3 linked regions of the Oryzias latipes genome follow. The protein of the gene in region 2 interacts with the protein of the main gene of each other region in a pairwise test. Links are inferred from orthologs where the notes say so. Each region holds a gene or a part of one and is shown on either strand. Other genes may lie near its edges.

Region 1 (5,272 bases), on a different chromosome or scaffold from region 2:
CGTCAACGGTTGAAGAGTTACGGTAATTGAAAGAACGTCGATACTGGAGCTCAAGCTCTGGTGTTAAAGGGTTAACTCCAGGGTTGTTCAATCTGTCTGATAACTGACCTGCGCTGGCTGTTCATGCTTGAGACCTGCATCCAGCTGTCTGCCTCTGGGTTGTACACCTCTACTGTGCTGAGCCGCGATTGTCCATCATAGCCACCAATGGCATACAGCAGACCGTTAACGACAGCCACTCCCACTCTGCTGCGAGCTGTCCTCATTGGCTGGCAGCGCTCCCAAAAGTTCCCCAATGGGTCAAAAACCTCAACCAGGTTTAAGGAGTCCCCTGTGGAAGAAAGAGATCAAGGTGTACCACAGGGTTCTGTTCTTAGTCCAATACTGTTTAGTCCAAGTCTAAAGGCTTAAAACACAGAGAATCTTTAAATTATAAATTAGGTTTTATTTCATGCCTTTACAAAAGATCTTTTCTCTTTTTATTGTATTTCTTAAGCTACATTCACACTGAATGCAATTCACGTGTCAGGGGCGGCTAGTTTCAATGTTAAGTCAATGTACAGGCGCAAAAAGAGGGGCTGCGGTGCGATTTGAGCGTCGGGTATCTGTGCGGTATACGCCGCAATCTGGCGGCAGCCTATTTTGGACAGCAGGAAAATATACCATCTTAACTTTGGTGAAGAATTTGCGTCTATCAACCAATCAGAAACTAAGCTTTGGTCCGTGACGTGTTGATGATGTAATCCAGAAAATAATAAAAAAGTTGTCTAATTTTATTCTCATCTTTATTTTTTCCGTCCCCTGACTATTGCAGGACAGCAACTCGGGGGACACAGAGAGATAGAAGTCTGGCTGAAAGCGGCCATCGAATTTGATTATAGCATAATATTCAATAAAGATCTGCCTGACGTTTTAATGTTTTTCTGTAGTCCTTAAAGAGAACCTTAGTAATAAACTGGAGTTTTCTAAATGAATTGAATTTACTAAAGATGAGCAGCTGACCTGAGCTGTTCAGACCGCCAACTGCGTAGATGAGTCCTGTGATGGAGGAGCAGCTCCTCTGTCTGGTTTTAAAGGGGGGGAGATGTGGACGCCGCTGCGGCATGAGGTGGAAATCTTTAGCTTCATCGACCAAATCTCTGAGAAGAATGGATCCGTTGATCAGTGACATGCCAATCAATCAGGAAGGAATCAAAAATAAAACAAGCAGAGCAGGCACGTTTAAAGAAATATTTACCATCTTGTATAGAAAGATTTACACACCTGTGAGCATCTCAGTGCTATGGACTCACCTGCACTTGTGGCAGCAGCGAATCAGCTCGTCCTGCTGGACCCGGTCCGACAGGAACTGAGGGCGGCACAGAGGAAGTCGGATCTTTGACAGCAGCTCCGGGAGCAGGGACTCCCGCCGTTCCCGGTCGTGATAAACCCACGTTAGCACCGCCTCAAACACCTACACAGGTGTCACATACAAACCCCATCAACACACCTGAACATGGCGCCATCATGTGATTGTGACAGATGCCGTGCACCTGCACAGGTATCCCTAGGTTTCCACAATATAACCATGTGTCTTCATTCAGAAATTTTCGGCATCCCCCTCTAGATCAGTGGTCCCCAACCTTTTTAAAGCCACAGACCGGTAGGACATCATACAAAGTTTTCACGGACCGGTTTCTCAGGTGTGGGCTGACAATTAATGTAGCAACGCTATGATAAAAAAAGGATCATGGACGTAACAAGGTGAGTCCTGAGCTTTTATTTTGACATGTGTAACATTGTAATTCGCACAGCTGTCATCATCCTCTCCGATTCCCACACTCATGGTGCAAAATAGAAGTACTGTCTATCAAATGTAGCTTTCTTTTTTTCTGGAAGTGGAAGGCTCCCTCTTCTGTCTCCTGGCTGGGCGTTTTCCCCTTGGCAAAGAAACTTTCAAGACGTTTGTTTTTACTCATTTTGCTAGCTCCTGGGTTTTATTTTAGCGGTATCATATAACGTGACAGAGAAGAGCGCCTAGGCCTGCATCAAGATCGACATAGAGAATCGGGCAATTTTTCAAAATAAAACATTTTTCAGATTCTGAAATAAATAAAACGGAAGTAATACAAGTTCTTTATACTTTCCGTGCGGCCCGGTGCCAAATGAACAACAGACCGGTACCGGTCCGCGGCCCCGGGGTTGGGGACCGCTGCTCTAGAACATCTCCCATGATGCCTCTCACCTGCTCCTCTGCTTTCACGTTGAGCTCGTCACAGCCCACCAGCTCCAGCACCTCCTCAGTCCTCAAACCCAGGAACTCCTCCGACAGGGAGACGTCCACAAAGTGCTGGTGAAGGTAGCTGTTGGCTGAGTCGTACAGCGTTGTGCACATCATGGTTTCCGCGAACTGTCGAACGCCCAGACAGTTCTTGGGGTGTAACCTGACCCAGAACACAGTTACTCCACTGACAGCGGGATCTGACAGTTTTCCAGGCCAGTGCCGCGGCACTCACCTCTCCTGCAGGAAGGAGCAGCAGGCGTCTTTGACGTTCTGCAGCTGGAGAAAGCTGGAGCCGATCAGGAGAGCCTGAACGTTCTGTTGGTCGATGGCCACATGGCCGCTGTATGCAAAGTTGATGAGAGCCTCCAGAGCGCTGCAGCAAAGACACTGCTCATTCCGGTTCTGCTGACCCTGAGCATCTCATACCTGACGCCCTGCCTCCACAGCTGCTTACCTGGGGTCCATGCCCTGCATGAGGATCTCGTCCTGCTTGCACTCCACCATGTCGTTGGTGAACATGGCGTGGAAGTAAGGGATGGAGGCCGCCAGGACGATGCGATGGGCGCTGAACTTGTGATCGCCCACCTGCAGGTGGAACCTCGGGTTAGATCACCTGTTCTATGATCTGTTTCAACAGATGTTCTCAGGTTACAGGCAGCTCCAGCTGAAAGAACTGCACTCAGCATCCCAAGACAGGCGAGACTGTGACCAAGACACACCAAAATGTACCAGAGAACTACATGAAATTCATTTGAATCCGTCAAGAAGCAAAGTCCTGTTAGATCCCCTTAAAGTCCCACTCTCATCATCTTTTGAATGAAAGTAAAAATTGGTCTTTCACGTCGACTTTAGCCAAAATCTCATAAAATCTGTGTGGTTTTCTAGGACATAGTTTCTGGAGAGTAGAGCAGTAATTGGTCAGAAATTACAGTACAGTCGGTGCGGGGTGAGCCCAACCTCTTCCTGTCATCAATCGGTTTAATTCTCTTCCACTAGCTTACAGCACCGGAAAACACACCAACAGAACCTGCTTGTTCTGGTGCTGATGGTGCTGCTCTATGCTGCTGGAGGCACTGGCCACTGAAAGGTGTCGGTCACACCTTTTTGACCAGATGTTTTGAAAAATCCAATCCAAAATCTGAGCCTTCGAGCTCCTGACACCTGCTCCTTCATGGTCACGTGACCAGGTCTAGCTCAGACCCGGAAATACATGTGTACGTGTGTAGATCTGCTCCTGCTCTGAACCTGAAGCTGTCTGCAGTCACTGGACAACCTTCCTGTGACGTACCTAAGCCACTAATGCAGGCGCAGTCAAGCGGATCACCGTGATCGATCATGTGATCAGTTCTAATGCCACTTATCGATGGCGGAAACGCCCGTCCATCAGAAAGGGGGCACGTTCACACACACCTCAGTCTCAGAACCTTGCAGTGACGTCACAACCCGATCAGCTCTCGTCATAATCTGCTGTTAGCATGTTGTTAGCATGGTAGCCGGTAGGCGGACTGGCCTCAAACGAAGGGAGTTTTTACCTTGAGTGTGACGTCACAGAGCTTGCCCTGACGCCGGATCTCCTCCATGACGACATAGCCTCGCGCCGGCAGGTCGTGCACCGAAAAATGAACTAAATCCTCGAGCTCTTCGCAGAGATCGTCTCCCATCGTCAGCGGCTGCGCGGACTGACCCCTGCGAGCCACCGTACCTGCTGCGGCTGCGCAGATGGAACCCTTCGAGATGCCGTAGCAACCGCGCGCAGCGCACAGTTGACAGGCTGAGACCGGCAGCCATCTAAGTACTGTATCTATTATGAGCCCAGTTTTTAAATACATTTTCACATCCATCTTTTCCTGCTTATCCAGAGCTGAGTTATGGGGGCAACAGTCTCCATGAACACAAATACAACCTTCAGTTCTACAGGAGGAACTCCAAGGCATCCCAGACTCAGGCCCTCTAGTCATGGGGGCCTCCTCCCAGTACAAACCCCCTGAGGGACGCATCGGTTAGCAATATGACCTCGCTGTTGTCTTCTCTTACTGAGATGCAGCAGTGGAATTTCTCCAGCTTCCTCCTGTGTGACGAGCTTTGATTAATCATGAATACTTTTACTTTTAGTGGCCTCTATAGGATTTTGCTGGTTAATTGACTTGTTTGCAGCTTCTTGGCAAACTCAGAGACCCCCAAAGGTTGTGTATCTGTCCATAATGTATGGAATTTTGACTGTATAGGAGAACTGGAATGAGTGAGTGTCACGTCAGCCACTGAAAATGGTTTACTTCTGGCTCCAAGTGAATGAAGTCCATTTAATCACCATTTTTCGCAATTCGGAGGTCACCATACTGGAGCCTGACAACATCAGTAAGCAGTGATCGGTCTGTGTTAGTCTGAGTCAATGTTTCTATGGCAACCGCTTTCAGCAATCCGGAGAGAGCTTGTTGGAAGTCCACACTCCTTCCACCTGAAAGTGGGCTCGGGAGAATCTGTCAATCAAATGTTCCAAACGTTTGATGAGAGACCACATACTTTTACTGAGGCATTTGATTGGTCAGTTTATAACTTGCAATAAAAGGAAAAAGAATCATGAAAAAAAGGCTACAACATGCAAAAAAATGTATCAGAGCAAGAATGGTTATTCTGAAAAATAGAATGACTGAGAAGGAGCTTTTAGGTTTTCTATAGACGTCTATTGGAGCTTGGCTTTGACCAGCAGGTACTTCCTGTTTGGAAGATGAGGGGGGGGGGGGGGGGGGTAGCTCACTCCAGTTCTCATTCACTGTCAATGCACACAATCAATGGGACCGAAGCAAATTATGGCCCATCAGGAAAAAGAAATTTCAACATCAATTTCAGTTTTAACTTTTTTTTTTGAGAATTAACACAAACAAACAAACAAGGATTCCAGGGGCCTGTTTCAGAAAGGAGGTTCAACCAACTCTGAGGTTAAACTTGAACTCTGAGTTGGTCAATCGAGAGATTAACAACTGTGAGTTTTTCTGTTTCAGAGAAGCTGAT
Region 2 (6,613 bases):
ATTTAAGTGATTTGGCAGGTCTTGAAGTCCCGTTTAAAACCAACACACCCATGGCTTTCCCAGTACATCACTAGACTCACCGGTCATTGTTTTTAGACAAACATGCAGGATTTCAACACTAAAAGAAAAGTGGTAAAGGTGTGTGTAGATATCCATTTGGCAGGCAAACATATTTGAGAATACAGGAAGTGATAGGAAATGGGGCCAAAATACAATTAAAAACATTTCTGATCTTACTTTTTCAACAAAATAAACTTTACTATCAGTTATAACACATAATCCAGAAACCGTTTGAAGGGTGCAGCTCCTTTGTGTTGATCAAATAGATATACAGAATAAGCCTACTAAACTTATCCCTGCATTTGATCCACCCTTTGGACAAACCAGTTTTAAAAACCAAAACTGCAACACATTCACTTCAAGGGATGAGTCTAAAAACTAAAGGGTTGGTGCCATAGCAACATCACCATTTAAGTTAAAAATTGATTTGAAAATAAATGAAGAAATCACCAAAAATATCAATGCTTAGAACAAGTTCTTAAGCGAAGAGTGTTATGCACAAATTTCTAATTAAAATGTTACACTAAAATCCCCTACATGGTCTCCTTTATCTTCGTGTTACTGACTAAACAAACATTCCACTACTTTTATGGAAGATGCAAAAAGTAATGAATTGACAATACACCAGCCAACCCCTTTGGTCTCACCTGTAATAAGGTTGCAGCTCTTGAAGGTAAGTGTGAGTTCTTCTGGGTATTTGTACTGACTGTACCAGATGGAGTAGCCCTCGCGGTCAAAGTGCTCCCAGAAGTGAGGAATTGCTACAGTCAAGGTGTCCTCGTTGGAGTACTTTCTCTTGAACTCGTCAAAGACAAATGTGCTTTTAAAACAGAAACAAACAACACGGAGATCATTGTTCTGCTCTTAACTAAAGCAGAATTAAGACAGCAGACCATAAATGCAATTACAAAAACATCAAAACGAAGCCCAACATGATGAATGTCTACCATTGTTTTACATTTACAACAAACAAATGTCAAAATAAATGTACCATGTTTCAGCATGACTTTACCGTTATCCCAACACCATTTCACATTAACCAGATTTTGTCCCATCAATGCAAAATGTGAGGATGTGAAAGTAAAATAAAATCAGAGGTAATCTCAGGTTTAATGCACTGAATGCTTTTGATATACAACATGTGGCCACAGCATGAACCAGCCTTATACCCACTGAAATAGAGATGACTGGGATGAATGTGGTCTTTTCTTTCTTTTCCCCCGTCTGATTAAGACGTAATGCCATGATTGGACACAGTCTTGCCCAATCACAGGGGATAGAGTACTCCAATTACACGTTTGAAACCATCTATAACTACTGGTACAAAGTGATTGAATGCAACACTGGACACTGGGTACCTTTTTGGCAGGTGAGCAAAGGGATCCTTTGCTTTAGGCTCTGCAGCCAAAACAGCATCACAGTCATCCATTTCTTCTTCTGGGTCAGGCTTGCTCTCCTCCTTTTTCTTTTCCTTCTTCTCCTGGGGCTTGGCTGCCTCTTTTCCTCCCTTCTCTTTTTTGGCAGGTGCTTCCTTCTTAGGTTGCATTTCAGCAAACTTCTTTGCTAGAAGAAAAGCACGGCATGGATTATTCTATGAAGAAGATGCTTGAGTCAGATTATTAAAAAAAGTTGGAAAATGAAAAGATATCTTCATGTTATGTTTGGATTAACCAGTGACGAGCATGCACCCTGCATGACCAGATGTTTCTGCTTTATTCAAACTTTAGTAACCATGTTAAAAGTTTAAACAATAAAGCTTTCCGGGGGGAACATAAGAGATGTCAGTTCACCTTTGAAGCCAAATGTTGTGCAATAAAACTTATTGGTATACAAAGGGAAAATAGTTTTTAAATGAATCCAGGGTTCTAACAAGTACATTCTTGTTGACTCACCATCAAACTGTGCCATCTTTTCACACAGCTTGACATCCCCGAGGACGGCCTTGAACTGGGGCTGGTTGACACAGGTGACAAACCAGCGGGTCACGTTAACATAGGGCTGGCGGAAGGAAGGCTCCAAGACCTACAAAAGATAAAACAGGTCAGCTCATTTATGGAAAACACACCAGCTCAAATAATGCTGGAGGTTCCACTTAACACAGTGAAAAGTGTCAAGCTGCATACTTGTTTGTAGAGCCAGAGCAGGGAGCAGGCCACCGTGATGTCCGCAAGGCTGATTCTCTCACCCACAAGGAAAGTGCGAGTGTTCAGGTGTTGGTTCAGGACGGTCAGGATCTTCTTTACATCTTCTTTGGCCTGCTCTGTGGCCTACACACCAAAAAAAAAAAAAAAAAAAATAGTTTAAAACTTAACAGTTAGCCAGTGATTTAGAATCATGTCACAATAACCAAATAATCCAGAAAATAAAGACTTGCATACCTGCTTGTTGAACTGCATAATTCCCAAAGTAGGGAAGACCCATGTGCTTGCTGGAGGGATGATCTCAGAGTCAGCAAAGCTCACCCACTGCAGCACTTGCGCTGCTGCCTGAGGCGTGGCACCGCGCAGGGCATCATTGCTCACTGTAGGCCACAAGCCAGAAAAACAACCGGTTGATCTTTGAAAACCAAAAGCCTCATACAAATTCAAGACAAATGAGTTTCCATGGAATGAACAAAGCAGTTAGTGGATTTATGAAAACACGAAATTTAAACAATTCATAAAACCATACTGCAAAACCCCCAAATTTAGCAACATTTGCTAACAAGGCTTCACTATCGTTTTGCCTCAACTCAATAGAATTGATTTAGAGAATCTGGATAACAATTAAAGCAACCTGTTCTGACCGTTTAGAGAGACTAAGAAGTAAAAAAATGTGACTTACAGTAGTGAGCAATGGCATTACTCTCAAACAGACAGAAGCCGTCATCTCCCTGGTAGGCAGGTACCTAGAACCACAGGATTTGATGCTGTGTGAAACCCAACTAGTTAATGAGGAAAAGAACAAGACTTGAATGTGACTGAGCTGCCCTCACCTTGCCCAACGGGAAGTTATTAATAAAGGCAGGGGTACGGTTCGTCTGTCCGAAGGTGAAGGCAGGGGGGGTGCTGGCGATTTTGATGCGAGCACCACTGTACTGGGCAGCGATCTGGGCTTTGAAGGCCCGCCAGTTCTCCGGGTATGTGTAGATAGTCTGAAATACAGGAAAACTTCTATCAGCTTGTGACTAAATGTATTGAATCCATCTAGTTATGCAATCTCTGTGCACGTTTCTATGATTAAACTGCTTTAATGCAGGTCCAAACCTAATTTAAACTGTATTGTTTCATATGAGAAAAGGTTTAGACTGAGGTAATGTGATAACGATGCCAGCTGTAGCTAATCCTGGCTAATGAATGAGCATATCAGAAACGGAGCACTTTTAAAAAAGATTTTACCAAAAGTAAATACATATGGAATACCAATAGGCTGAAACGCCTCTTAAACTTAAGTGGCATGGTTACATTGTTTTAGAAACAAACTAGAAGTAAGCTAGCTTAGCGCGACTTGTGCTTTTTGTAAGACTAGCAAACCACATCTGATCTGTTCACTTATTTGATTGGTTCGATCAAAAGAATAAAGAGGATCTGGGGATTTTTGTTTTAATCATTCTAAAAAATGCGTCGGTCATAAAGTGGCATGGCCACGGAAAATTTAGGAGCATCATCCCCAGTCTCACGAAATATTGTAACGTGGCACAACCGAGTTAGCCATTAAACAGGCAGGATTGTTAGCGTCTTCTTAAATATAAATGACAAATAAACCCTCTACCAACTAAAAAACAGCAACATGGTCTAATGTGTCTATTAAACGACACAATAACAGAGCAGATGACATAGATACGAGACGGATTGTGACGAAAAGGTTGAAAGAAAACTCCATTGTTGGCCTCCTCTCCATCTTACTCACCCCTGCCGCCATCTTCAGGACGAGAGAAAGAAAGAACGACGGCGCACATCAGTGACGTATTTACGACCGTGACACGTGCCCATCCATTTTGCTGCGCACGTGACTGAGTTTTCAAGTGTTAGAAGATAAATATTGGACACTCCAACAAATACTTTGTCGACGTATGTGATTAAAAAAATGATACAAAGATAAACGAAAAAGTTAAATCTTTTATTACAAAGTACAAAAATGATACAACTAAATTTGAAGGTATGTATTCCACTTAAACCAAATTTATATATATATAAAAACACAAAACTGCAGAATTAATCTCTTGACACCAATTCAACTAACTAAAATAAAGAATGTTAATTTATTGGAAAAAAAACAGCAAGGCTTTGACTAAATCCTACCATAACATGAATATAAATCATGAAGTTATTACTACATAAATTGTCCCAGGTGGTGAGCACTCAGCTGAAAGAAATCAGCTCACGAGACCTTAAAAAAAAGAAAAAGCCAGGGTTAGTTTGATATAGAATCTGTAAACGGCATAATATATATATATATATATATATATATATATATATATATATATATACACACTTCATTATGTGCATTATTCTGTAACCGTGTGGACGGCCTGAGGATGACTAATTTGAACATTGTTTATGACTGACAACATCAGCACAATCTCCACCCGAGTTAGACAACAATTAAAATAATCAATTATAAATCGAACAGTGCTTCTGGTGTTCGACATTTTGACTGAGAAAATGCTTCAGGTTATAGAATTTTTTATTTTTTTTTAATTGTAGATGAACGAGTTGGGCTGGGTGGCAGTTTGGGTTACGCTAAGTTTGCCTTCAAACTTAAGTTAAAATTATATTTTTTATTCAGCAAAGCATTTGTGTTACCAACGTGTGAAAAGTGTTTTAAAAAATAATTTGATTTATGACCTATATCACTTAAGCATGATTATGCATATTCAATGAGTTTTGGTCCGTTTTATTTAACAAGAAGAGCAGCCTCTTTCGTGAAATTTATTTTGAATTCTTCTCTTACATTTGGACAATATTTTATTGCTTATTAATGCCATTTATATGCAATTTACAAACTGAAATCTGACAGATTTACTTTCTGAGTAATACCTTTTCAAATAATAATCACTGTGATTTAAAAATATGAAAATATTATTGACCAAATGTTACCATTAAATCATAATACTGCATTGAAAACTGTACTAAAACAAATGACAATTGTATACTGTGAGGTATCAATTGCGTTGAAAATGTACTGTTTATGGTAAAGAATCACTGAATATTTGGAAGAATTAATAAGTTATCTATTTTGTGAGATAAAGGAAGTTGAAGATCATTTTAAGAAGGTCCTTCATGTAAAACTAAATCCTAAACTTCAGTGTATAAAATGTTGTACGTATGTTTGAATATTAGAATTTCCAAATGCTGGCACTGAATGAATTTGATGACAGTTAAGAAAAATAATACAACACGAATGAAAATAAATTTTAATTTAAAATAGTAACCAAACATATTTTAGATTCTAAAGTATGTGTTCTTTTTATATAAAGATCATCATCGTCTAGTTATGTTGTTGTTTGATTGAAAAAAAAAAAAAAATAATTCTGACTTGACATTTAATACTCACCCAAATAATCATCCATCAGAGATCCGATGGCAAACTAGAAAACAAAGAGGAAACTTGTTTCAATGAATAGTTTTGCACAATTCTTTACATGGGTATTTCGACAAGCAGATGTTTTAGTGAGGTTGCTTTTATTGTAATCAGGCTTTTGACTAACTGTCAAACCAGATCCTGCTGTATTCAAACTAAGCTTGTTGTTCTTCTTTTAAATGGTTTGAAAAAACACCAGAAAGTCAAAGAAAGGAACATTACAAGAATCCATATGGACCTAAAGTCCCAATCCAATCATCTTTTGATCTATTGTTAAATTGTTCCCAGTGGTCTTTTCATTAGGATTGTGCTGCTTTTGGCCAAAAAAAACAACAAAAAACTGTGATGTTCTCTGGGACATAGTTTCTGCCGAATGGTAGGAACCTTCATCAGAGATTCACCTCTGAGTTGTCAGCGGGACTATTGGTGCAAAGTAATCCTGCGCTAATTTCGTATCAATCCTCCGTCTACACTCTTTCCCACTAGCTTACAGCCCCAAGATGACAATAGTGCGAGGAATTTTTGGAGCTATCCAGTCCTGGCAGCTCAGTCAAGGAAAATGAAGATGTTAATGGATCTGTGTCGCTACTGGTCAAAAGATCAAAAATAATATTTATGGAAAAAACTTACAATGTCATTCTTGTCCACTCGTGTTCCCACAATCTTCAGTCGAATCTCATCATCTTGCTGGATTACAATGTCCTAATAAACACAATAAGAAATGTTCATTAAAATCAAATGTATCACAAGGATTAAAAACTGAAAGAGAAAAGTAGCCTTCAATGTCTCTGCATGCTAAATCTACTATTGCATAAAACAGACAGAGTAATGACACATACCTCGTCAACTGTTTTATAGCAAGGTGGATTGGAGTTGGGATCAAATTCCATTTCTGAAGGGATCGACTGGGAGAATAAAAAAACAATAAAATACACAAACAATAATATAAAAACATACCTACATATTAGGTCAAGATATATATATAGTAAAG
Region 3 (5,457 bases), on a different chromosome or scaffold from region 2:
GATTGTTCATCACTGCGGAGTGGCCCTTCAACGAACCATAGACTGAGATTAGCAGGGCTTACTACAGTTTCACTAAAGAAATGGTTTCAAAATGTTTGTACACACACACAACAAATGTGCAATATTGTTTATGCTTAATTGAAAAAAAAAATGCGTTATGGAAAAACTAAATGTCAGTTCCTGCATCCTCTTAACACGTGATTCTTGTGCTTGTGTATTTTTCAGTGTGATTTACCAGCAGGTCAATAATCCAGGGGGTGAGGGGTTCAAATCCAGGGAAGCGCAGTCGGAGATCTTTCAGGAGGCGAATCAGAACTTTGACCCTGAAGATCATCAACGTGCAACAGTTCACAGATACTCATCACACGTCAAGAAACACAAAGAGAGACGAGCGGGGCGCTCACGTCGACTGAGAAGCGTTCTCCTCAAACCAGCGGGCGTGGCGGATGGCAGCCAGAGCACTCTGCAGCACTCGGATGTCCACTAGAAAGAAAAAAAACGAGCATTTTTGTGGTGGTAAAGTGAATGTGTAGAGCCTCCAGAACATCAAACCTCCACCAGAATTATGGATACATTGACAGCTCCACTCAAGTTTCTGAACCCACAGATGTTTATTTGACAGATGTTGGGAGAGGTCCAAACTGTAAGTCTACACCGATTTATTGTAAAATATCAACACTATAAGTTATGAACTTTTCACTCAGACAGAAACACCAATCTGCTAAATAATTGGTTCACTATAAGAGCCGAAGAAATCAAAAATTTAAAGAATTAAAACAATAGATTTTCATCAACAAAGAATCATTTGTCAAACTTTAAAGTCAACAAGAAGTAGATGATTGCTCAGACCACATTCTTCAAACAACATTGATCAATTATTTCACAAGCCTGCCTCATTCCTATAAAAGTGCTGTGCGGGTGTGCGCTCTCTTACGATGTAACTCTGGATCCAGTTTGCGCAGGTTGGGTGGAACGGTGGTGATGAGAATCTTAACTGTAGCATCAGCCGAGCTTATTTCAAATCCGGTTTCATTGGTCAGCATGGACAGAACTGATAGGAGGAGCACACGCAGAAAAACAACAGTTTTAGTCACCCACAGTTAAACACAGTTAACAGAAAAGAACAACACAAATCAGCACAGGGTTGGGGTATTGAGCATCTGTAAGCTAGCAGGATAGCGTGTGGACAAAAGTGACGATAGGAAATAAGCGGAGGTTTACTTCCGCGCCCCACCCACAAGTTAGAGGCGAGTTTCAGATGAACTATTGCCGCTCTGCAGAAAATGTCCTAGAAAACAGCAGGTTTTTAGAATTTTGGCTAAAAATTCTATAACCATAATTAAAAGACCACTGGGAACGATTTTACAATAGATCAAAAGATGATTGATGTAGGACTTAAATTATTTTTTATGCTTTAAAAAAAGTTCCTGCAAATCTTACAATAGCTTTAATAAATTTTCAGAAGCAATTTTTAGGGTAAACTTGTAAATCACGTTGATGCTTTAACTCATTGAAGGAGATCTCTGTGATTTACCTTCAGTAGGGTCCTGGGTGCGGAGAGTTTCCACAACCTTGTTGCCAAGAGCAGCAACAGCCTCCACTAAAAAGAACAAAATTATATTTGGACATAAAGACACAATTTTTCACAACCATTAAATGTGACTAAAAAACATCATTCAAGTTTGAAAAAAAATATTTAAGGAGAAATTCAGATTCGGTGCTGATGCACTGGGATGTTTGATGCATCAACAACATATATGAACCATTCTCATACAGTCGATCAGACAAAAGAATCTGACAACATCCGGATGAGAAACTCATGACCTACATGTTGGGAGGATCTTCAGGATGACTACAAGGTCTGCAACATTGTGCCCAGTAGTCATGGTTCCCTTCTTATAGGAACCCACCTGACGGACTTCTTCAATTTGCTGTCAAGAGGCACAAAAAAAACAATTATTCATTGTTGTGGGTCATGGATTGTGACAGAAGGCTGTGATTGAATTAAAGATACTTCAATCAGTCTGGTTTTGCCTAAAATAAAAATGTACCGGCAGTATCCCTCATATTTCACCTCATTGTTAAAAATGTATCTACATGTTCATTGAAGCTGCTTTAGTCTGTGGACCAAAGGTTCTTCAAATGGGACCAAAGGTTCTTTAGTGGAGCAACTCACCACTTCAAAGTTTCCAGGAGCAACAATAAGGTTGTCAATGACGTTGTTGATCTTTGTGACCAACGACAAGATAGAGGACTATTATAAAAAAAAAAAAAAAGGGAACAAAATGTGTTAGAAGCACATATGATGATGATGATGAAAGTTCCTGGGCGAGTCCGAGTCAGACCTGCTCTGCTGGCGTGGGGCTCAGGTCCTGGTTTCTCTTCAGGAGACACTCGCTGAAGGTCGTCTCATCAGAAGCAGGCTTCACTCTGGGGAAGGCCATCTCGCACTGGTGGAAGAAAGGAGTGAAAGTCAAGACTCACACTTATTCTGCATCGATATTCCAGCTATGTTCACTTGTTCTCACCACGTAGAAGTCAAACGGGATGTGTGGGACAAACGGGCGGTACCTGCATAAAAAATGATTAAATTAAGCATACGTTCATATGTAAACATTTATATCCCAAGATTTAAAGTGCATAAAGTGGAGATTTTAACTACTCACTTTAAGCTCAAACCTTCTCACTGTTACATCAGACACATGCTATATGGCAAAAGTAGCCACTCATTTGACTTTACACGCATGATCATAAGTTATAATCCATTTGTACTCCACATCATCTTCATCCATGTCTTTATGGGCCTGCTTCTAGCAGTGGTGCACAGTCATGGTGCTACCAGGAAGCAACATTTCTAAATTTTTAAATCTCTTGGTGTCCTACAGCATTCAGACTTCCTTTCACTTGAACTGGAAGGGGTGAGAACAGCTTCTGACAACTGGAATTCACTGATCTCCTGGGATGGCAACATCCCTTAAGATGTTTGCAGAAGAACTCATTTTATGCGTCTGTGGCCATGGAAATGACTGGAATGCCACAATTTAATTATTTGAATAAGTGATTTAATACTTTAGGCAATACTTTCGTAACATGGGCAACACTGCTGTTGGTTTTTCAAAGTTACAGGTCGGGGGGGGGGGGGCATCTTTAGTCATCAATCTATTTAGAATATTAGATTTTTTTTTATCCTGAGTGTTCTTAGGTTACAACAATCCTAGCATCATGGTCCTCTACTCCAGCTAGCCCCGTTCATCTTGATTCTGATCCTCAAGAATTAGGTGTCCAGTTTCTGACAGACTAGAGACATATAAGTAATCAGCAAGCTGGCTCAGAGGGTTGTTGAAAGGAAAATGTAGGGGGCAGAAAAGCTTGCCAACACGAACCGATCAGACTTTGTTTTCTGAAAATGTTTGGGAAACAGACACTAACCCCTGGACCAGGCCTCCGCGGGCTCCGAAGCGCCCTCCCCGGCCTCTTCCGCGGTCTCCTCTGCACAGAAAGGGAACAGATGATAAAACAAAAATGATTAGGCCACATAGTGACATACACACATAATCTGATGGGAGCTAGTGGTCTGCACGAAGAATGATTATTGACATTAATTCACACAAATAAGTATATAAATAGCCTAAAAACAAAACTGTGTACGAAAACGCGTGAATTTATTCACAGAATTGGCTCCTAAACTAAAAAAAAAAAGAGTTGAAACACATGAGGGAAACGCTGCTTAACTTACAGGTTATTATGCTAACGCGGCTACAGGCTGGACACAAATCAAAATACAACAACAAGAGCAGCGTGTTCAACCACCGACGCCAATAAAATGAATAAATATATGCTTACCTCATCGTGTAAGACGTTTTGATTCCGAAAATATAAAACAAACGAGAAGAATTAAGATTTGCAGCTGCTGCAATGAAGGCGCAGAACCGGACATAGACTGGGGCAGCGCTAGTGAAACTTCCGGTGAGGAAAGGCTCACAGCACACTGCTGCCCCTACAGACCAGGAGTTAAAAGTGCAACCTCTTTTATTTATATAGCTTTTTTATTGAACATTTTCAGAATATAATATAAAAATGCAACATTTACAACAGTACAATATTTTTTAATTTGCCCTAAAATAAGCGATGTGACATTTCACTATAACAACGATTCACATATTTTGTGGTTGCTGATCCGATTCACTTTCGATATTGGTTCATTTTGAATGATCCAATTTGATCTGATTAACTGACTAACCTAAAGTTGATCCAGGACATCTTTGGGCAAACCTTCAACCAGTGTGGCTTAAGACATAAATACTGAACAGTGCAGGGGAAGTTTTCATCAAAATCACATCAAAATAATACAAACAGAACATTATTAGAACATTCTAGCACACTGTTTGGTCACATGTCTGTGTTTTGTTTCCACACATTGGATCATATTGACGGACTGATCTTTTTTTATTTTAACTTGACCAACAGCTGAGCTAGCAGATCAGAACTGAAGATCTCTTGTTGGACAGATTTTACTGTTACAATAGGGGTTTATGGATCTTCAGACAAACAACAAACAGAGTGTAGATTTGTATAAAACCCCTTTTTTGTATTTGAGGCTATAAGCATTATTTATGATAATTATTTTTGTATGCGATCTATGTTGAATCAGACGGAAGAAAACAAGAAAGAAAGAAAGAAATAGAGTGGGATGTTGGAGACAGGGGATGAGGGGTTAGATAATACAAGGTCAAAACATACGAGTGTCATAAGTAAATTGCATGACTTAGTTCACACATCAACAAATTCTCTGCACATCTATTTACAGATTGGAAGTATATTCCTACATTCATGATGGAAGATTTATCCCACAAGACTTTCGCACACAGACAGGTCCACACAATATTTGTATCACCAATATTCTTGAAGAGGGGTGTAGAAACAATGCTGGATCATTTTTTGCTGACATCATGTGTGTTGTCCGCTGTGATTGCACTTGGTCATTTTTACAATATAGTAACACAAACTAACCAATCAAAATGTGATTTTCAAATATTAATAATCAATTTCTTTCATTTTTAAATGACTTTATAGTATAGATTGATTTGATTCGATAAACAACTTGCCTCAGATAGATCAATCTGGTTGGATCGTACGAATAAAAATTAATTCATCGAGTCGTTTAATTGTTACACCCCTACTTAAAATGAAATAAAATGAACAGGTCTGCACTTGTGTCCTCCTCTGGAGTTTTGTTAGCAATAAGAAACATGAAAAGACTATTGAATGCATTTCTTGTGAGGTTTAAGTAATGTTACTAGTTCTGGAAAGAAAACAGGGAAATAATTATTTCTTCTACGTAAATGTGGTTTCTTTTTGTACGTTTAACAAACAAACCTTAAACAAAATAAAAATAAAACTCAACTTTTTTGAGCATGACTCTGATGTGGGTCCAATCTCCTCTTTTTGAAAAGGTTT

The links. The genes of interacting proteins can lie anywhere in the genome.
Region 1: the proteins of eef1g (region 2) and klhl18 interact in binary tests that used the Homo sapiens proteins (3 or more experiments, as listed by UniProt). The two-hybrid records come from large-scale screens. The link is inferred for Oryzias latipes from reciprocal best matches to the Homo sapiens genes EEF1G and KLHL18.
Region 3: the proteins of eef1g (region 2) and ilf2 interact in a two-hybrid assay, tested with the Homo sapiens proteins (2 studies listed by BioGRID and IntAct). The two-hybrid records come from large-scale screens. The link is inferred for Oryzias latipes from reciprocal best matches to the Homo sapiens genes EEF1G and ILF2.

The regions. Positions count from the first base shown.
Region 1 is NC_019875.2:12,844,300-12,849,571, reverse strand, and holds the start of klhl18 (kelch-like protein 18), read right to left. Parts: upstream 3,978-5,272; 5' UTR 3,925-3,977; coding exon 3,796-3,924; intron 2,849-3,795; coding exon 2,718-2,848; intron 2,637-2,717; coding exon 2,496-2,636; intron 2,424-2,495; coding exon 2,225-2,423; intron 1,454-2,224; coding exon 1,293-1,453; intron 1,140-1,292; coding exon 1,003-1,139; intron 332-1,002; coding exon 109-331; intron 1-108. UniProt on the Homo sapiens protein: Substrate-specific adapter of a BCR (BTB-CUL3-RBX1) E3 ubiquitin-protein ligase complex required for mitotic progression and cytokinesis.
Region 2 is NC_019868.2:13,732,586-13,739,198, forward strand, and holds the start of eef1g (elongation factor 1-gamma), read right to left. Parts: upstream 4,038-6,613; 5' UTR 3,961-4,037; coding exon 3,949-3,960; intron 3,194-3,948; coding exon 3,035-3,193; intron 2,948-3,034; coding exon 2,884-2,947; intron 2,582-2,883; coding exon 2,439-2,581; intron 2,328-2,438; coding exon 2,184-2,327; intron 2,083-2,183; coding exon 1,953-2,082; intron 1,624-1,952; coding exon 1,419-1,623; intron 881-1,418; coding exon 708-880; intron 1-707. Other genes in the region: polr2g (DNA-directed RNA polymerase II subunit RPB7), read right to left, coding at 4,415-4,428, 5,596-5,629, 6,253-6,324, 6,462-6,527. UniProt on the Homo sapiens protein: Probably plays a role in anchoring the complex to other cellular components.
Region 3 is NC_019869.2:21,696,313-21,701,769, forward strand, and holds the start of ilf2 (interleukin enhancer-binding factor 2), read right to left. Parts: upstream 3,978-5,457; 5' UTR 3,849-3,977; coding exon 3,844-3,848; intron 3,490-3,843; coding exon 3,430-3,489; intron 2,572-3,429; coding exon 2,529-2,571; intron 2,451-2,528; coding exon 2,346-2,450; intron 2,255-2,345; coding exon 2,177-2,254; intron 1,932-2,176; coding exon 1,829-1,931; intron 1,601-1,828; coding exon 1,535-1,600; intron 1,052-1,534; coding exon 935-1,051; intron 484-934; coding exon 405-483; intron 324-404; coding exon 236-323; intron 26-235; coding exon 1-25. UniProt on the Homo sapiens protein: Chromatin-interacting protein that forms a stable heterodimer with interleukin enhancer-binding factor 3/ILF3 and plays a role in several biological processes including transcription, innate immunity or cell growth.